Linked DNA regions of Arabidopsis thaliana. The protein of the gene in region 1 interacts with the protein of each later gene in a biochemical or structural test. Each region holds a gene or a part of one and is shown in the gene's direction. Other genes may lie near its edges. The genes, in order: ROP2, FER, ROPGEF11 and SPK1.

Region 1 (4,648 bases):
AGCTTCAGTGGAGAAATTCTTCTTGACTTCAAAGGTTCGTGTTTTCTTCTCTTAGGGTTCACGAAACAACACTTTTTGTTTGCCTTCCTTCCTATGTACGTAAAACTTCTATATTTGTTGCATGTTGGTTGCTATGGCTCGATTCGAAGAATAATGGGTTACACAGTATAATGGGCCACGTATAAGCCTTATAGTTCATATGGATTTTATTGTTTGGACCTTTTGGTTTATTTCTTGTGACATTTTCTGATAGTTTTTTTTGTCGTTTCTGAATTATTTTGCAGCTTATTGGATTATGGCAATAGTGATTATGGATTGTCTTTTTCATCTATTTCTTAGAGAATTCTGGTCAGTAATTGAATTATTCTATCAAAAAGGAAAAAAGATTTTTGAACAGAAAAGAAGTGAAGTTAGTTAATAAAGAGAGATTGGTCACTGGTTGGTGAATACTGAATAGTTGGTAAGCTACTAAGCTTAACTTCTTTGATATCATGATTTGGTTAATTCATACTTTTCGTGTACAATTTAGTGGTTTGTGCTACTATCATTGAATGTGATTATTTAAATCCAAATCCACATGATAAATGTTTATTAAAAAAATTATGAGTGGTTAAATTAACACATAATTTTGTACGATTTATCACGGTCATTTGATAAATATTTGTGGATAACTTTATTACATTTCTAATTTTCATTATTAAACTCAGTAAGCATATAATCAATATAAGCAATTTCTTTTTTGGTCAGCAATATATATATATATATATAGTCTTATGGAATGAAAAAGTTGAAAATAACACATGATGGCAATTAGCTACTAATTCATCAAGTTTGACAAATAATTATAAGAAGCTACCGTCTGGTGTGATTATGATTAGGTGATGGGACAATCAGTGACGTGGTGGATCGTTAGTGGATTGATTTAGTTAGAGTTGGGCACGTCCCATTGGACTCTAGTCGCCTATGTTTCGTAATCCGAGGGGAATCGAAAAGAGAAAATAAGTAAAAACATCATAAATAAGACATTTATGAATCGTGCCGGCACGTTCTTGATGAGTGAGAGTTGCCAAATCCAATGATTAAAGATTTCATTCATGCCTCTTCGTATTTTGCTTAAGTCTCTCTCGTATGCCATTTTTTTTTTTTTTTTGCTATACTATAAAGTCTATCTTAGATCATTTGAATTTACCTCCCTTGATACATTACATACGAGAGAACTGGCAGTTGTAGAAGATGTTGTGAATGGGAGTCTTATAACTGGATATGCGGATTCAAATTCGCTAGCTAAAGAAAGTTTTTATTTGAAGAAAATCTATAGTTTTGAGACGGTATAATATTTTACCAATTACTATTTGTAAAATAATCGATACATGGTTAAACTAAGTAAGATAACAACTTTTAGTTGTTGTTTTGGTGAAATGATAAACTTCTATGGAATTCTTATCTTGTTTTGGTAGGTACCAAGAGGATTAGACAGATAAGCGACTTCGTTTACTGCTAATATTGATAATCAAAACTTCGTTAGCTATGTTTTAATAAAGTTGTGAACAAAAAGAATGTTATGGAAAACTGCTCAAAACTGGATAAGTCTCATGCCAGTAAGAATCAAAGTGGCAGTGCAAGTCCAAAGACACAACACACTAGGATTTTGAAACTTGCATTGTTCAGACAATATATGATAGTTCAAAATATTACCTTACTAAGATTTCTCTAGGCTTCATGTCAATGATTTAGTCCAAATTTAAGAGACAATTTTAACTCAAAACAACAATGAAAATATGTATCACAATAAAAAAGTGTTAAACGAAATATATTATTAAAAACATTTAAAAACTGTTGAGAAACCAAAGAGATAATACAAAAACATTCATGACAATTGTATTTTTCTTGTTGTTTAAAAAAAACTGACAGATCTTCTCCATTTCAAAATTCAAAATCCGTGACATAAAAGAAAAGAGACTTTCAAAATTTTGAAAAAAGAAAAATAGAGGTGAAAATAAAAAGTATAATATAAATAAAAGGGGAGTGAGTGTATATGATAAGGAGGTGTTTGGTGCTGTTCTCTTAGCTGTCTCAGAGTTGTTGTTTTTCTACTAGTCCCCTCCTCCTATAGGCTCCTCTCAAAGTCATCTATCAACCGCCAAATCAACCTTCTTCTTCTTCTTTTCCTTCTCTCTTCGATTCTTTTTCGAATTTGGGTGATTCTCAGATTCACAAGCTTTTAGAGCTCGAATTTGATTGGCGAGCTAGAAATGTCGAGGTTTTGAGGAAGAAGCAACCACAAAAGAGGATTGATTTTAAGGGCTTTTTTGTTTGTTTCCGATCTTGCGGCAGAGATGGCGTCAAGGTTTATAAAGTGTGTGACCGTCGGAGATGGTGCCGTCGGAAAAACTTGCATGCTCATTTCTTACACTAGCAATACTTTTCCTACTGTAAATCTTTCCTCTCCTATTTCAATATCTCTTCGGTTTCTTATTTTTTTGTTGAGCTCGTTGCAAGAGTAGATTAGTGATCTGCAAGGTTTTTGCAAATTGGATTCAGGTGTAGATTTTAGGTCATGGAGCTGTATACTAGAAATTGATCAATTTCGTTACAACTTTTTTTGTTTTAAGACTTTGAGAATCTAGGCCAAAGTATTGATCTTGAAGCTACTGTGTTTTGTTTTTGCTTTTTATAAAGGATGATTTTGATTATAAGGTGTAAATCTGTGACTTGTGATTGGTGTTTCAGGATTATGTGCCAACTGTTTTCGACAACTTCAGTGCTAATGTGGTTGTTGATGGCAACACTGTCAATCTTGGATTGTGGGATACTGCTGGTAATTCTTTCGTTTCACCGTTTGGGATTTTCCTTTTGTTTCGGTTGTTTTTGACTTAGTTTGTGTTTGTGGGGTTTGTTAACAGGTCAAGAGGACTACAACAGGTTACGACCTTTGAGTTACCGTGGTGCTGATGTTTTCATTCTTGCTTTCTCTCTTATTAGCAAGGCTAGCTATGAGAATATAGCCAAGAAGGTTTGTCTCTCTTTTGCTGATAAATCCTATACAGTTTGTGTTGATGAGTGATCTTATTTGATTTCGTTCCTCCTCTCTCAGTGGATTCCTGAGCTCAGGCATTATGCTCCTGGTGTTCCCATTATCCTTGTTGGGACAAAACTCGGTAATCACACACTTTCCCTATTGAACTGATCATGCTATTTTTTTGACTGAAAGATCTGTGGTTACGTTCCTACAAGCCTTGTGACACCAACGAAGTTGTTAAGTTTTCTTGCAAAATTTGATTGTTAAGTCACTGGTATTTGCTGCAGATCTTCGAGATGACAAGCAATTCTTTATAGATCATCCTGGTGCTGTGCCAATTACTACAAACCAGGTACATATCCTTTTAAACGAATAGTCTTGCAATGATTGCCAGTTCTTAATAGAATTGTCTGATGTTGTTTTGAATGATGCAGGGAGAGGAACTGAAGAAACTGATTGGATCTGCTGTCTACATTGAATGTAGTTCAAAGACACAGCAGGTATACATAACAAATCGCTTGTCCTGTTCCTCACTGTTTGCAATATTTGATCTTATCAAGAGGGTGAGCTTTATTTCTTTCCTTTTGGTGTTTCTGCAGAACGTGAAGGCAGTGTTTGATGCAGCTATAAAAGTGGTGCTTCAGCCACCAAAGCAGAAGAAGAAGAAAAAGAATAAGAACCGTTGCGCGTTCTTGTGATAAGAAAAACCTCTAAGACTAGGTAAAACCAACTAAAGAAAGAAGCAGAAGATGATTTCAACTATTTGATTCGGCCCATTTTAATATGATAATTTCGACGTGAAGGGAGACATTTCTAGTAGCTTTTTTGTATAGTTGCTAAAACGAGCTTTGTTGTTGTTGTGTCTTTTACTCTTTGCTGGTGAATCTTTCGAGTCCACAGACTAAGAGACCGTGTGTTGTACTCTTGCTATGTAGACTAATCTCTGTCTCTCTTCTCTTTTGTTCTTGAGGATCATTTTGTATTAACAAATGAATCTAATTAATATTTGCAACGTTTATTTTGTTTTTAAGAGCTCTTGTTTTCTGCTTCTTTCCCACAAGATGTATATTCATGTGATCTTACCAAGCATCATGCTTAAAGAGATCTTTCTCCAGCTGCCTAAGCAAGAAGTTAAACTGGGGAACGGCTAAACCAGTCAACTTCTTGCAAGAAATTGCTTATTTAAAAGTAGCCAGCTTTTGCAATCGCATTGATCAATTCAACCAAAAACTTCCAGTTGACAAAAATCATGTAGACGATAGTTTAGTAAGTGGAAACCATGATTTTTGATTAGTGTCAAAAATACAGAGATCGTTCAAGTATCATAGATCACTGTGATTGTTACAATGATAACTGTACAAAGCTAAGGCCTAAGGCTAAGCTGAGAAAGAACAAAACAATATGGGACCTAAAACGGGACAGTATATGGTAATGAAAAAATTCCAACTTCAGACAATAACATAGCTCTAGGCAAAGAGGAACAATCTCTTGACGTCTGCAAGCTCATGATCGTGTCTTCATCAGTCTTATAAGAAGACTTGGCAGAAGAAACATTTTCTTTCCGACTTGTTCCAAAAAGCCAGTCATCGCTGCTGCTATCATCTTCCTCCAAGGAAATACAGGGAGGAA
Region 2 (5,593 bases), on another chromosome or scaffold:
GTTTCCTAGTCATTACACCTTCAGCGATTGCTTCAATAAGTCTCCAAAAGTGGCTAGAAAACGAGTTGTAAAAGGCCTGGCTAAAGTAGCAAGCATTGGCAACGAACATCAGCAGGTAACTCTCTCGTTCTCATGTCCCTTCTTTCTCACTCATACATACTTTAGCGTATATGTAATTTTCCTTTTTCTTGTTGGGACCAGGAACTCATCAAAGCACTTGCATTCAGCATTTGCGGGCCTGCAGGAGCAGATCAGGCAACCTCTTATAATTTGCGGGCAGGTTCATTTGCAACGATAGAGATAACTCCTTCCCTGCGAAAGACACTCTTGGGGTTTGCTATCTTCGTTGTAGTATCGTTTTCGGATGATAGTCACAACAACGCTGGGCTTGGCGTTAGGTGCGTAAGCAGATGGAAGACAAAGAAAAGGGTGGTCACTGGTAAAGCAGAGAAAGTGTTTAGGTGTTGGGCTCCGAGAGAAGCTCCTGAGGTTCAAAGGGATCACATGTTTGTGTTTTATGAGGATGCCGAAATGCATCGAGGTGGTGGTGAGGGAAACAAACCAAATATAATGGCTGATCACGTTGAATTTGAATTCCAAGCAGTAAATGGAAGAAACAAGGTCTTAGGCGGTAATTGCATGGTGACAGAATGTGATGTTTGTGTTATAACAGCTGCAACTGGTGCGGCGAGTCTGAGTGTAACAAATGCAAGTAAGGATATGAGTTTAAGTAAGAATCATTCTCCGAAGCTTTCAAGTGTGATTGGTAAGCTTCGATTTAAGCGAGTTGGTAGGTTTGGTGGTTGTGTTTGCCTAGAGTGAAGAAAAGTTAAGAGTGGGAACTGGGAAGAGTGTATGTATGTGACTCGTCTCATGCGTGCCCAAATGCGAAGTAGCAGAAACATGTATGTTTGAAATGTAATTTTTATTATTTAAAATTGGCATAAACAAAAAAAAATGTGTTGTCTGAAAGAGAATTAATGATATGTTAATGTAAATATTTAGTGCATGTTTGATGTAATGGTTTAAAGTTTTATTTTATTTTGAAAGACTGAGAAAACAAGGATCACAAACTCTGTTTTGAATCAAGAAGGTGTAGACCAAAAAAATTGCACACGTTCGGCCTTAACCACGGTTTATTTGTATTCAAGGTTACTTGGATTTGACATCGGAGATCAAGGTTACTCCTTACCTTAGACATGATCGATCAAAAGGAGGCTACGCCGATTGTCATAAACATATATCATGTGCACGTTAGATAAGGCCCACTTATAACTGGGCCATAGGAGATAAACTGAAATCAGAGTAAAAAGCCCATGATTACGTAAACTATCCTAACTAACTAACGAGTTATTATCAAAGCAGGCCCCATTCTTTCCCTTTATAGTATAATATAGAGTACCAGCTCAGCCACGAGCAGTCACCACCGCACACAAAAATACGCGTTTCATAAAATTCTCTTGTCTTTTCTTTAGTTTAATGGATTTACTCTCTCACATTTTATGAACTGTCATCCAAACCATACCAATCAACATTATCCTTCGAATGGTCAAGACATATATAATTCCAGCTGTTGATACTCAAAGGTCATTATCGTCACTTCACCCACCTTCAAGCCGGCTTCAATTAATTAAACCCGATAACTATATCTTAATTTAATCTTATTGAAATTAAAATAACGTTAACGCGTAGAGGGAAGCAACAATGCTTGTCCGTTTTGTCGTCGTCTTGACTATACTTACCTCTCCACTCATTAATTGATTTTCTCTCTCTCTCCCCCAAAATATCTCTGTCTTCTCCAAAAACTCTCTCCGATTTCATCGCTTAGGGTTTCTTCCCCGATTCTTCAGGTATGTAATCATCATCATCATCTTCCTCACTTCACTCTCCCTTACTACTGTATTCAAACTTCAATTTCATCTGTTTCTTAAGCTCAATTTTCGTAACCAAACGAACATGTACCTCTAGCACTTTCCATTTTTAGATCTGTGAAGTTTATAGTTTCGATTTTCTTTCGTTTGATAGATCTGAGAAGAAGATCTTCCCGGAGAAGTGCTCTTGATCGATGAAGATCACAGAGGGACGATTCCGTCTCTCTCTTCTTCTTCTTCTTCTTCTCATATCTGCAGCAACTTTAATCTCAGCTGCTGATTACTCTCCAACAGAGAAAATCCTATTGAATTGCGGTGGTGGTGCTTCTAATCTAACCGACACAGATAACCGTATATGGATCTCCGATGTCAAATCAAAATTCTTATCATCTTCCTCTGAAGACTCTAAAACATCACCAGCGTTAACACAAGATCCTTCCGTTCCCGAAGTTCCTTACATGACGGCGAGAGTTTTCCGATCTCCTTTCACTTACACTTTCCCTGTAGCATCAGGTCGTAAATTCGTGCGTCTCTACTTCTACCCAAACTCGTACGACGGTCTCAACGCTACCAACTCGTTATTCTCCGTCTCCTTTGGTCCTTACACTCTTCTCAAGAATTTCAGTGCTTCTCAGACGGCGGAGGCGTTGACTTACGCTTTCATCATCAAGGAGTTTGTTGTCAACGTTGAAGGTGGAACGTTGAACATGACGTTTACACCGGAATCAGCTCCGTCTAATGCGTATGCGTTTGTTAATGGGATTGAGGTTACTTCAATGCCTGATATGTATAGTAGTACTGATGGGACTTTGACTATGGTTGGATCATCTGGCTCTGTTACTATTGATAACAGTACTGCTCTTGAGAATGTGTATAGGCTCAATGTTGGAGGGAATGATATCTCGCCTTCCGCGGATACGGGTTTGTATAGGTCGTGGTATGATGATCAGCCTTATATATTTGGTGCAGGACTTGGTATTCCAGAGACTGCTGATCCCAACATGACGATTAAGTATCCTACGGGGACTCCTACTTATGTTGCTCCTGTGGATGTTTATTCAACCGCGAGGTCTATGGGTCCAACAGCTCAGATCAATCTCAACTACAATCTTACTTGGATTTTCAGCATTGACTCTGGTTTCACTTACCTTGTTAGACTTCATTTCTGTGAGGTTTCTTCGAATATCACTAAGATCAACCAACGGGTGTTTACAATCTACCTCAACAATCAAACTGCTGAGCCTGAAGCTGATGTGATTGCTTGGACTAGTTCAAACGGGGTTCCGTTTCACAAGGATTACGTGGTGAATCCTCCAGAGGGAAATGGACAGCAAGATTTGTGGCTTGCTCTTCATCCTAACCCAGTTAACAAGCCGGAGTATTATGATTCTCTTCTTAATGGAGTGGAGATATTCAAGATGAATACTTCTGATGGTAATCTGGCTGGTACCAATCCTATACCTGGTCCACAGGTGACTGCTGATCCATCTAAAGTCCTACGCCCGACTACTAGGAAATCGAAAAGCAATACGGCTATTATTGCAGGCGCAGCCAGTGGTGCAGTTGTTCTGGCCCTTATCATTGGGTTTTGTGTGTTTGGTGCTTACCGCAGACGTAAGCGTGGTGATTACCAGCCTGCTAGTGATGCAACATCAGGGTGGCTTCCACTATCTCTGTATGGAAACTCACATTCTGCTGGCTCGGCGAAGACAAACACAACAGGAAGTTATGCCTCGTCCCTTCCGTCAAATCTTTGCCGTCACTTCTCGTTTGCTGAGATCAAAGCTGCCACTAAAAACTTTGATGAGTCCCGGGTGCTTGGTGTTGGTGGTTTCGGCAAGGTTTACAGAGGAGAGATTGATGGCGGAACTACAAAGGTAGCCATCAAGAGAGGCAACCCAATGTCCGAGCAAGGTGTACATGAGTTCCAGACTGAGATTGAAATGCTTTCAAAGCTTAGACATCGTCATCTTGTGTCCTTGATTGGATACTGTGAAGAGAACTGCGAAATGATCTTAGTCTATGATTACATGGCTCATGGTACAATGAGGGAGCATCTCTACAAAACCCAGAATCCTTCTCTTCCATGGAAGCAACGTCTTGAGATATGCATTGGAGCAGCCCGAGGTTTACACTATCTACACACTGGTGCAAAACACACAATCATCCATAGAGATGTGAAGACAACAAACATTCTATTGGATGAGAAATGGGTGGCCAAGGTCTCTGATTTTGGTCTATCGAAGACTGGTCCTACACTAGACCACACACACGTAAGCACAGTTGTGAAAGGAAGTTTCGGTTATCTTGACCCAGAGTATTTCAGACGGCAGCAACTGACTGAGAAATCCGATGTCTACTCCTTTGGCGTTGTTCTATTCGAAGCTCTATGCGCTCGTCCAGCCTTGAACCCAACACTTGCAAAGGAACAAGTGAGCTTAGCTGAGTGGGCACCATACTGCTACAAGAAAGGCATGCTAGATCAAATCGTTGATCCCTACCTCAAGGGCAAGATCACACCAGAATGCTTCAAAAAGTTTGCTGAAACCGCGATGAAGTGTGTTCTAGACCAGGGCATTGAGAGACCATCAATGGGAGATGTTCTGTGGAACTTAGAATTTGCGTTGCAGCTCCAGGAAAGCGCAGAAGAGAACGGAAAAGGAGTATGCGGTGACATGGACATGGATGAGATTAAGTACGATGATGGAAACTGTAAAGGAAAGAACGACAAGAGTTCTGATGTGTATGAAGGGAATGTGACGGACTCGAGGAGCAGTGGAATAGATATGAGCATCGGTGGTAGGAGTTTGGCCAGCGAAGATTCAGATGGACTCACTCCAAGTGCTGTGTTTTCTCAGATCATGAATCCAAAGGGACGTTAGAGAAGTCTTATAACACGGTACAACACTACTACCTTTCTAAACCGGCTCCATCCAAAGGAGACCGGTTCGTTTCTCTTTTTTATATTTTTTTTCCTCTTAACTATTTATTATTATTCTCTTTGCTGTTATTTATTTAGAATTTTGGATTTGTGTATTTGATGCCACGATGGAGAGTGTAAAAAATAATGTATTTTTTTTTCTTCTTTCTACAAAAACATTAAACATGAATCGCGTCAATGTACTATTTGGTTTGTTATCTATAACGTTTTTGGTAATTGTTGCATCTTTACTCTATTACACGTCGTACTCTTATGAACAAACTAGTACCCATTTATTACAAAGTCGTACTCTTATGAACATAAACGGAAGTACATCAATCACTTCTCTGTTTTACTATATAGACGCATTTTAACGGAATCCTACCAATAGTGTCTTTTCTTGCAAATATTTTGATTTAAACAAGAAGGGTCAAAGTTGTATATTTCTGCTGATCAATACAAACAAACACTTTGAAAGAAAAAAACAACGAGTAGAAGAACTATGTGTAATGTTTTTCTCTTGATTGCATAAGAATTTAAAAAGAGTGAAACAGGATTATTTTTCCAAGCAGCTCTCTTGTTTTTAACTACAACAAACAGGAAAGAAAACTCAAAAGGAGTCAGAGTCTCAGAGAGGAGAGAATAGATCAGGAGGAGAGTCAAAAGCATTGTCGAAGATGAGAGATTGAGGAGATTCATCATCAATGTTAAGTAGCCAGTTTGTATCCTTGACATCTTTAACATTCAAGAGTGCGTCGTAACGAGCACTATCGTTCTTGTTCTCTGTGTTGTTCCCTTCTTT
Region 3 (5,033 bases), about 12 Mb from region 1:
GTTTTCTATCCAAAACTCCAATGGGCATAAAAAGATTAAACACACCATTTGCATTAAAAAGTTGAGAATTCTTCAAGAACTAGCATAGGTTGCTAGCTAGATCAATGGGTCCTAAACCTTCTTAATGGGCTTATAAATCCCAACTGTTACACCGACATATTTACGAGTTTTGTGGAAGGCTTAGCTAATTACATTTTTTTTCTTTCACATGTTAGCTATTTAACTAATTAATTATGCACCTCTCCATCGTTATCCATTAAACGTCAAAGACAAAAAATACTTGGACACACGTAAGAGAGAGACACATATATCTGCTCAAATGAGTCATTACACCTTATTTTATTATACTTTTTCTTAACTGTCTTGTTCCTTTTTTTAGTCTTCAAATTATCAACTTTGTTTCTTTGATCAGCTTTGTCATCTTGAAATTATCAACGTTTTGACTAAATTTAAAGAACAGTTGTGTTCGTTCGTGCCATTCTTTTGAATGCTTATACGTACATTTCTTCTTGAAAAGACTTTGAATCCAAGAACCCGTGAGGAAGTAATCCCAGTGAAGAGAAGACGACAAAGAAAAAGGTTAGGCACATTTTCCCATATTTTTCCTCAAAGAGGAGACATTATTTATCTTTGTATGGGTTTTCTTGATAAAGATTAGATATTGAAGGAATCTTTTTTTCATTTTGTGTCTTTTAGGAGCCTATAAAGATCCAAAGCTTCCCTTGTCTTTAGTTCTCATCAAAAAAATTGAAAAACGTTTGGAGTTATTGAGAGAGAGAGAGATAGAGAAAGATGTTGGAAGGCAAAGCAATGGTGGAAGATTCAGACATGCCAGTGAAGATGCAGATGCAAGCTATGGCATTTGCTTCTCAAGCTCTTGACCTTTTTGATGTCTTTGACTGTAAATCCATTGCTGGTCACATCAAGAAGGTATTAGTAATGATTTTCTTCAATTCTATTTATAAGTCATAAATACATCATTATCATCTATATATAACTACTTGGTTAATTTTGTTTGTTCTATAATGAATTTTCAGGAGTTTGATGAGAGATATGGGAGTGGATGGCAATGTGTGGTGGGATCAAATTTTGGGTGTTTCTTCACACATTCTAAAGGGACTTTTATCTATTTTCAATTGGAGACACTTAAGTTCCTCATCTTTAAAGGCGCTTCTACTCCTTAATTACACTACCCTAATCATGGGGATGTTTTTTTTTCCTTTTTCTTTTGCTTCTATGAAAATCTGAGAAAAAAAAATCTTGCTAAGACTATCAAGATCTTTAGCTTTGTTTGAATTCTAAGTTTGTAAATAGGCCCAAGCTAAGAGAGGAAGTTGATTTCAATGATGTAAGATTTTTCATTTTTACAAGTGTTTGCTTTTGTGATCAATAAAAGTGAAATGCAGAAGATTTTTTATATTTATATTCTTTTAGTTGAGATGCAAACAATTATAATTGCCCAGCCACAAATAGAGAATTTCTTAGACTGACTTAGACTAATCTATCATTAGCATAATATAAATTTATTTTAAACTTTTACTTTGATAGAAATTCAGAGAGAGGTCAAAATTGAGGAAAACATTATCATCCATAATCCTTAATTTAGTTGAGAAACTGAGATTTTTTTAATACAACAAGACATAAACAAAAATGATATTACAGATAATGTCAGTAACATGTCCTCCCTACATCTCAATGTTTGATTTAAAGAAAAAGATTGAGATTTTTTTTATGTGTGTGGAGAAATTCAACTTTCAAATAACGTGCAGCCCACATTCCACCAAGTATCAATTTATAAATAGTAAAACATTTCAAGAAAATTAAAAATATCCTCTTATTTTTTTCCCCTGAAGAATCTGACCAAATTCACTACTTGTTTATGGTTATGGACAACGAATCATAATAGTTACTAAAATAATCAGGTTAAAACTAAAACCATTAACAGAAGTCAAATGATGGTGTTCTGTATTTGCTAAGTCTGAAATTAAAATCAAACACCGTTTTTTGGTTAATTAAGTTTGTTTTTTCTTCATGATCTCCTAAAACTCCTCTTTATTACACGAAGAGGAGAACAAATGGAGATTAAAAAGAATTTTCAAATCATAGAAATCTTTTCATTTTTTTTATTGTTTTGATTAACTAGTAATTAATGGTAAAAGCAATGGAGCAAGAACAAGAGACTTACAAATCAAGATTGTTTCATTTCAAGAACATGAACGAAAACTCAGCTTCAAGACATGTTAAAAGCTGGAGCTCAGATTGTGCAATGAGAATGGATGGTTCTGACAATTTGGATGATGATGATAATGACATGATGATGTTTAGGAGTCAACCCGGAAAATGTGGCAGCGTTGACCGACCTTCTTTGCCTATAGGCGGAGTAACGCCTAATCGCAATGACAAGCTTCCGAGAGTCTCTTCATCGGATTCCATGGAGGCACTAATAATATTGCAAGCAGGTAAAATCTAATGAACTGGCTCATATCTTCTAGGTTTCTTGGATTGCAAGTTAGGGGCAAAGTACTAATCTTGGATTATAAGTTAGGGCAAAAACTAAAGTATATGTTGTTGTTATTACAGCAATGGAGCAAATGAAAGAGAAATTTTCGAAATTGCTTCTTGGAGAAGATATGTCAGGAGGAGGAAAAGGTGTTTCATCGGCTTTGGCTTTATCTAACGCCATTACCAATCTCGCAGGTAAGATCTTTTCCCAAATCTTTCAGTTCCATGGAAATTTTCAATTTTATCACCAATTTGATGTTAAGTTCTGTAATTTTTTTGTTGTTGCAGCGTCTGCGTTTGGAGAACAACGGCGTTTAGAGCCAATGGCGGTGGATAGAAAAACGCGTTGGAGGAGAGAAATTGGATGGCTTATCTCTGTGGCTGATTATATAGTTGAATTCGCTCCAACACAACAAACAAACAAAGATGGTACTTCAATGGAAGTCATGTCAACAAGACAAAGAACAGATCTTCTCTGTAACATCCCTGCACTTAAGAAACTCGATGCTATGCTTCTCGTAAGAAGAACAAACAACAACAGCACAAAATATACTAATCAAAGGCTGTTAAATAATTAATCTCACATTTATAATCATTCTCTTGCAGGATTGTCTTGATAAATTCAAGGATCAGGATGAGTTTTATTATGTTAAAAAAGATTCTCCTGATTCTTGCGAGACAAGGAACGATGAGAAATGGTGGTTACCGGCAGTAAAAGTCCCACCTAACGGCCTCTCAGAGATATCAAGAAGGTTTCTACAGAGCCAGAAGGAATGTGTGAATCAAGTCCTTAAAGCTGCAATGGCGATAAACGCTCAAGTTCTGTCTGAAATGGAGATTCCTGAAAGCTACCTTGAGTCACTTCCTAAGGTTATTTAATAAACACATAAAAACATTCATCAAGAATCTGTTATTGATCTAGTCCTTATCGATGTTTTCGTGTGTTGTTGAGAACAGAATGGGAGAGCTAGCTTGGGAGATGTGATATACAGAATGATAACAGTAGAGATGTTTGATGCAGATCAATTCCTAATTGAAATGGATTTATCATCTGAGCACAAGATTCTTGATCTAAAGAACAGAATCGAAGCATCGATTGTGATATGGAAGAGGAAAATGGTGCAGAAGGACACAAAGTCTCCTTGGGGATCAACAGTGAGTATTGAGAAAAGAGAACAGTTTGAAGAAAGAGCTGAAACCATCTTGCTACTATTAAAACAAGGGTTTCCCGGAATCTCACAGTCCTCGCTCGATATCAGCAAGATTCAATTCAACAGAGTAATTTAAAACTCTTAACTTCCAAATACATTTTGATTGTGTTTTCTCTATGGTCATGAGAAAATCTCATTATTGGATAATTGTTGTTGCAGGATGTAGGACTTGCGATATTGGAGAGTTATTCAAGAGTGCTTGAGAGTTTAGCTCACACCGTGATGTCGAGAATAGAAGACGTGCTTTACGCTGATCAGCTTACTCAAGAACCTACAAATAATGCACCTTCTAAGAACAGATATAGCTTGAAGGAGAATGAGAAACTAAGAGAGGAAAGACTAAGTTTCACAGAGGATATGGCTTCAGGAACACTTTCTGATGTTATGCAATGGGGTAACAAAAACAATGAAATGAAGAAAGAAAGCTTTTTCGGAGATAGAGAGAAACCGTTGTTGTCGAAAGTCACAGGTATAATGACTAACAACAAGAAGAGTTCTTATCTTGATAATCTTGGAGCTATGAGGAGTCCAACCGCAAGATACTCCTGAGAGAAACCGGTTTCTTTTTTCCGTTCTTGTTAAATTAGGGCTTCTTACTGCATTTTCAATCTGCTTAAAGATTCCACAAAATGCACCATTGTGTGTTGTAGCAGACTTGAAATGCAATTTCATTGATTCATCATAACTGATTTTCAGAATCACTAGCTTACAAAGCAATTAACACAACACAGTACAATATACATAAATAGGGTTCATAGAATTGGGGAGAAAGTTTCTGACTTTTTGAAAGATTTTAGAAAGCTAATTTAAAGCTTGCCGCGAGGACCGAGCTTAGGTGGCTCTTGAGGACCTCTCTTAATCGGAAGAACATCGCCGGTAGAGTTCGCACTAACATATGTAAGCAAAGAGCCTCCTCCAAGAATCAAAAATTTGAGAAGCAAACCTCTCTTTGTGAAAGGAGCAGCAAATGTCTCAAAGAACTTGCTCTGCAAGCAACATAATCACAAAGTCTTAGAATTTGAAGAAGCATATAGATCTAAAGATTTAAGAGTGTACAAAAACCTGAAGTGGGTTATAAGGAGAAGGAGCATCAGATCCATACACATCCCATTGTCCTGTTGTGTTACCCAAATCTTCTAAATCAAAGTATACACTTTTGTCTCCATACTTAGCCACCACAGCACCAGCTCTACACAAACAATCAAAAGTAACATCCTTTCTTTAATACCAATCCTCATCAATGTCAATCCAAGATTCCAAATTTCAAAGCTTTAAACTTTACCTGGTGGATTTGGTTTTGAAGCTTTGGCGAGAAGGTTT
Region 4 (4,883 bases), on another chromosome or scaffold:
GTGAATGAGATTGAAGCTCTTTACGAACTGTTCAAGAGCATTAGCAAAAACGGGCTTATCGACAAGGTATGCAAGAATCCATAGTCGGACACGAGTACTATATCTCTCTGTTCCTCTACATTCACTAGGATCCTTTCAAATATATTGCAGGAACAATTTCAATTGGTACTATTCAAAATGAACACAACGAGAAGCCTTTTTGCTGATAGGGTAAATTAGATAGACTTGTAACTCACTTATATGAGTTTCCTTGCTGTACACTCATACTTCAAGCTTTGCAGGTGTTTGACTTGTTTGATACCAAGAATACTGGGATTCTAGATTTTGAAGCCTTTGCTCGTTCACTTTCGGTCTTTCACCCTAATGCTAAATTTGAGGATAAGATTGAGTGTAAGTGGTCGAGAGAGACTTGACCTTCTTTTTTTTTGTCATATCCAAACCTTGGATCAAGCTCATCTTTTGTCTCTGCAGTCTCTTTCAAGCTGTATGATCTGAATCAGCAAGGTTATATAAAGAGACAGGAGGTGAAGCAAATGGTTGTGCGGACTCTAGCTGAATCTGGCATGAACCTTTCTGATCATGTGATTGAGAGCATCATAGACAAGGTGGGTTTGGTTGATCTCCTCCATTGACACTAACTAGGATTCTCATATTTAATCTTTGACAAGAGATGTAAAAACTGATTGGTGTGTGTAGACATTTGAAGAAGCTGATACTAAACTGGACGGGAAGATTGATAAGGAAGAGTGGAGGAGTCTTGTGTTGCGCCACCCCTCTCTGTTACAGAACATGAGCCTTCAACATCTCAAGTAAGCTAGCCATGTTATTTGCCTTATTATCTTCTTCGTGCGGGACTAACATGTTTTTGTATGTTGTGTTTTGTGTAGAGACGTAACAAAGACGTTTCCAAATTTTGTATTTCACACTATAGTGACAGACACTCCTAGTGAGCTGGATGGATGATCAGGGATGTGAAGAAAGACCAAAACCCTTTACAAGATCATTCATACTTGATTCTTATCTTCTTCTCCATTACTCTATTACAACCCTCCTCTTTATTTTTAATAAATACGTTCTGAAAGCAGCATTACCTCACATGTTTGTGTATCCGCAAACTTGTTCGGTTTATCTTATCTGTTGGAGTGTGCAAATTGATTCTTTTACTCGGCATTAGTTTTATTTTGTTGCTTCTTCTTTCTTTCTATCTAAATTTGTTAGTTGGAGTAAAATCCGGACAACCATATTTTACAGGGAACCCAAATGGCGAGATAGTTTTAACATGAGAAAGGAAAGATTCATGTGAATGAGAAACTGGTTAACTTGAATCTCATAGATCATTGTATACTTGGACATTTTCCCAAGATTAGAACAAACAATACTAGATCTCTCGAAAATATCTTCATCACAGTTGCAAAGAGCCGTGGAGAACCCAACTCTTGAGCTCAAAATTGTATCAGCTAGTGACGTCAACCATATCGAATATGTCACGGACAAAATGGACGTATACGCCGTCGTTTCAATCAAAGACAACACAACTCAACAGCAACAAGCGGCCAAAACTCCCATTGATATATAACGGAGGTTCTAATCCGACTTGGAATCACACACCGTTAAGTTCTCCGTCAACGAGAGAGAAGCCACGAAGCCCAATAATTATGTTAACCAGTGTAACGTTTTTTCACCCACTTAATTTTTTGGCTGGGTCTGCCTAACATTCTAGGCACAAGTTAAAGAGGTGATCAATTTTTAGAAATTATAACCCTAATGCTAACATGAATGATATATAAAAAGGCCGCAATGGTAGACTATAATGGCAACAACTCTGAAACAATGGCTAAAGATTGGGATTCACCGATTCATAGATACCAAAGGTAACTATGAACTCGTTTACGGTTTATCTCAACATGAATCCGTAGAAACAAATCAACAATCCTAATTTCAATAAAGTGTGACAACTAAATTCTTTAGCCGTATACTTTCTAATTCCATTTTGTTTGGTATAATGAGAATTGGAATGACTTTTGGTGAAAATGGTTACTACTTACTCCAATTCTTTAAGTTGGTTCAGGTGAGGTATCATCGTCTTTGGTCGTCCCAATGATTGACTCTTTTGTTATTTAAAAAGAAAAAAGGGACAGTAGAGTTGGACTCTTGTTGGACTTACAGCTCCAGCTCGACTTTTGCTTTCCTCTTGAGTAATCTTCACTTTTTCTCCCAACTGCTTCCTCTCACGGATCTCTTCCTCTCTGCGTAAAGACAAAGATTCATCCTCCTCTCCTCCTTTAGCTCCCCCACTCAGATCTACTTACTACTCCAACAATGTCCTTTTCCCATTTCTAGGTTTTCACAAATCCCCAATTCTCTCTAATGGCGTAGTAGTACCTCACATTGTATTAGATCTATCTCAATGGAGAACAACAATCTTGGTCTTCGATTTCGTAAGCTACCTCGTCAGCCTCTTGCTCTCCCTAAGCTCGATCCTTTGGTAATTAAACTCTCCTCAACCTTTATTCGCGTTTTCTCTCTCTTTTCGTTAATGTGTTTCTTCTCTTTTGTTTCAGCTTGATGAGAATCTGGAACAATGGCCACATTTGAATCAATTGGTTCAATGTTATGGCACTGAATGGGTTAAAGATGTTAACAAATACGGTCACTATGAAAATATTCGACCTGATTCTTTCCAGACTCAGATTTTTGAAGGACCTGATACTGATACTGAGACTGGTAACTATGATGCATTGTTTATTTTTATTTTTTTTGCTTTTGTCAATTATTGTACATCAATTAACTCTCTGCTTCTTCAGAGATTCGTCTTGCTAGTGCCAGGAGTGCAACTATTGAGGAGGATGTTGCCAGTATTTCCGGGAGGCCGTTTTCTGATCCTGGATCCTCTAAGGTGTCTTCTTTTACTCACTTCATTGCTCTGTTATATATTTCTCATCCTTTGGTTCTTACTTTGAAGGTGTTGCTTTTTTTTTTTTTTTTCAGCATTTTGGGCAACCTCCTTTACCTGCTTATGAACCAGCTTTTGACTGGGAAAATGAAAGAGCTATGATTTTTGGTCAGAGAACTCCTGAATCTCCTGCAGCTAGCTATTCCAGGTTTTTTTTTTTTTGCATGTCACTATGCTTTACCTGATCTTATTATCTTTGTCTGATTTGTACTTCTGTTCCTCTTTATTATCTTCACAGTGGATTGAAGATCTCTGTCAGAGTTTTGTCTCTAGCTTTTCAGTCTGGCTTAGTTGGTGAGGATTCTGACTAACTGCTGTCTATTTTCTGTAATTTTAGTTATTTCAACTTCTTTAAGTTCCTTCTTTATTTCTCTTGCATCCCTGCAGAACCATTTTTTGGCTCGATTGCATTGTACAATCAAGAGAGGAAGGAGAAACTCTCTGAGGATTTTTATTTCCAGATTCAGCCGACGGAAATGCAGGATGTAAGTAACTGATTAGAGCCAACTGTCCTCTTTTTGCCTCTTCCCTTCTCATGATTATATAAAAGGTGATTTCAGTTTTTTCTCACGTCATTTTTGCGAAATTGCCGCCCCTTGTACATTTTCTTGCAGGCTAAACTTTCATCTGAAAATCGTGGAGTATTTTATCTAGATGCCCCATCAGCATCAGTTTGCCTGCTTATTCAATTAGAAAAAACAGCAACTGAGGAAGGAGGCGTTACATCATCTGTCTATTCCCGTAAAGAGCCTGTAATTTCCAAAATCCTGAATTTTCCCTTACTGTCTCTAGAGTCTCTTGCTCATGTGAATGCCTTGGTCTTAGAGATTGTGTCTTTCAACATTTATTTGGAGTAACTTGGAGATAGCCTGTGACTTATAATGGCATATATCATCTGTCTTTACTCTTTGTTTTGATATATATTTTAGAGTAGTCATGGTGATAGCTGGATCTTGATATAACAATTAGTAATTACCCTATTTATGTGAATCAGGTGCACTTAACTGAGAGGGAAAAGCAAAAGTTGCAGGTCTGGTCTCGCATTATGCCTTACCGAGAGTCTTTTGCTTGGGCAGTTGTTCCGCTTTTTGATAATAATCTCACCACAAACACTGGTGAATCTGCTTCCCCTAGCAGTCCTCTTGCTCCTAGTATGACTGCGTCAAGTTCCCATGATGGTGTTTATGAACCAATTGCAAAGATCACATCAGATGGAAAGCAAGGTTATTCAGGTGGAAGTTCTGTCGTAGTTGAAATATCTAATTTAAATAAAGTTAAAGAGAGCTACTCTGAAGAGTCCATTCAGGTAGGATGTTTCTTATCAAATCCCACAGTTTTTACCATGTTCTTTATGATTGTATTTACAGTGCTTTGAACTTCACATGGTGTGGAACATTTTTCATAGATTTTGTTCAATTTGAAAATCCTACTTGCTAGGTACACTTTGGTTGGGTTTTCCTGAACTGGATATGTATCTAAGCAAGTAGAGTTGCATGCACAGTCGATTGACAAAATACTTCTGTATTTAATTGATAACAGTTTTTTTTTGTTTTCTATTTGAATGAATCAATTTTGGTAGCATTTGACAATTAGGTCATGGTGTTTAATTCATAAGTTTTGAGGAATAGAAGTTCTTCATTTCTGTTTTCCCTTCTGAAGTGTAGTTAGTTATAAGTATATTACTAAATACATCACAAGAAAACAAGATTTCCGAGCTCTCTCTTCTTTTACTCACACAAAAAAATTCAGATCTGAATCGTGTTTGGTAACGTCATCAGACAAATAACTGGAATGCTTTTTATTGATATAACATCTTACTGTATATTGCTGCTTTTATCTGGAGGAAATACATATCTAAAATCTCTTTAAACTGTCTTGATCAGTTGGACATACGGAATCTCCTAATGTGCTAATGTCTAATAATTTATTC

Evidence for each region.
Region 2: the proteins of ROP2 (region 1) and FER form a complex in vitro, tested with the Arabidopsis thaliana proteins (one study listed by BioGRID).
Region 3: the proteins of ROP2 (region 1) and ROPGEF11 form a complex in vitro, tested with the Arabidopsis thaliana proteins (one study listed by BioGRID).
Region 4: the proteins of ROP2 (region 1) and SPK1 form a complex in vitro, tested with the Arabidopsis thaliana proteins (one study listed by BioGRID).

Annotation. Positions count from the first base shown.
Region 1 is NC_003070.9:6,964,887-6,969,534, forward strand, and holds ROP2 (RHO-related protein from plants 2), read left to right. Parts: upstream 1-1,955; 5' UTR 1,956-2,336; coding exon 2,337-2,432; intron 2,433-2,730; coding exon 2,731-2,818; intron 2,819-2,903; coding exon 2,904-3,013; intron 3,014-3,094; coding exon 3,095-3,158; intron 3,159-3,306; coding exon 3,307-3,371; intron 3,372-3,453; coding exon 3,454-3,519; intron 3,520-3,618; coding exon 3,619-3,717; 3' UTR 3,718-4,123; downstream 4,124-4,648. Other genes in the region: SYTB (Calcium-dependent lipid-binding (CaLB domain) family protein), read left to right, coding at 1-26; AT1G20100 (DNA ligase-like protein), read right to left, coding at 4,428-4,648. UniProt on the Arabidopsis thaliana protein: Inactive GDP-bound Rho GTPases reside in the cytosol, are found in a complex with Rho GDP-dissociation inhibitors (Rho GDIs), and are released from the GDI protein in order to translocate to membranes upon activation.
Region 2 is NC_003074.8:19,117,037-19,122,629, reverse strand, and holds FER (Malectin/receptor-like protein kinase family protein), read left to right. Parts: upstream 1-1,680; 5' UTR 1,681-1,850; intron 1,851-2,025; 5' UTR 2,026-2,065; coding exon 2,066-4,753; 3' UTR 4,754-5,046; downstream 5,047-5,593. Other genes in the region: AT3G51560 (Disease resistance protein (TIR-NBS-LRR class) family), read left to right, coding at 1-115, 202-822; AT3G51540 (mucin-5AC-like protein), read right to left, coding at 5,420-5,593. UniProt on the Arabidopsis thaliana protein: Receptor-like protein kinase that mediates the female control of male gamete delivery during fertilization, including growth cessation of compatible pollen tubes ensuring a reproductive isolation barriers, by regulating MLO7 subcellular polarization upon pollen tube perception in the female gametophyte synergids.
Region 3 is NC_003070.9:19,454,995-19,460,027, reverse strand, and holds ROPGEF11 (rop guanine nucleotide exchange factor-like protein), read left to right. Parts: upstream 1-1,958; 5' UTR 1,959-2,149; coding exon 2,150-2,459; intron 2,460-2,580; coding exon 2,581-2,697; intron 2,698-2,790; coding exon 2,791-3,020; intron 3,021-3,108; coding exon 3,109-3,372; intron 3,373-3,459; coding exon 3,460-3,780; intron 3,781-3,872; coding exon 3,873-4,262; 3' UTR 4,263-4,519; downstream 4,520-5,033. Other genes in the region: AT1G52245 (dynein light chain LC6, flagellar outer arm-like protein), read left to right, coding at 793-930, 1,038-1,184; PSAH2 (photosystem I subunit H2), read right to left, coding at 4,520-4,699, 4,776-4,902, 4,996-5,033. UniProt on the Arabidopsis thaliana protein: Guanine-nucleotide exchange factor (GEF) that acts as an activator of Rop (Rho of plants) GTPases by promoting the exchange of GDP for GTP.
Region 4 is NC_003075.7:9,238,585-9,243,467, reverse strand, and holds the start of SPK1 (guanyl-nucleotide exchange factors;GTPase binding;GTP binding protein), read left to right. Parts: upstream 1-1,838; 5' UTR 1,839-1,871; intron 1,872-2,068; 5' UTR 2,069-2,407; coding exon 2,408-2,485; intron 2,486-2,561; coding exon 2,562-2,724; intron 2,725-2,804; coding exon 2,805-2,896; intron 2,897-2,988; coding exon 2,989-3,101; intron 3,102-3,191; coding exon 3,192-3,247; intron 3,248-3,340; coding exon 3,341-3,438; intron 3,439-3,567; coding exon 3,568-3,705; intron 3,706-3,947; coding exon 3,948-4,259; intron 4,260-4,883. Other genes in the region: CBL6 (calcineurin B-like protein 6), read left to right, coding at 1-66, 151-210, 282-390, 472-605, 697-809, 888-963. UniProt on the Arabidopsis thaliana protein: Guanine nucleotide exchange factor (GEF) for Rho and Rac. GEF proteins activate small GTPases by exchanging bound GDP for free GTP. Controls actin polymerization via the two heteromeric complexes WAVE and actin-related protein (ARP) 2/3.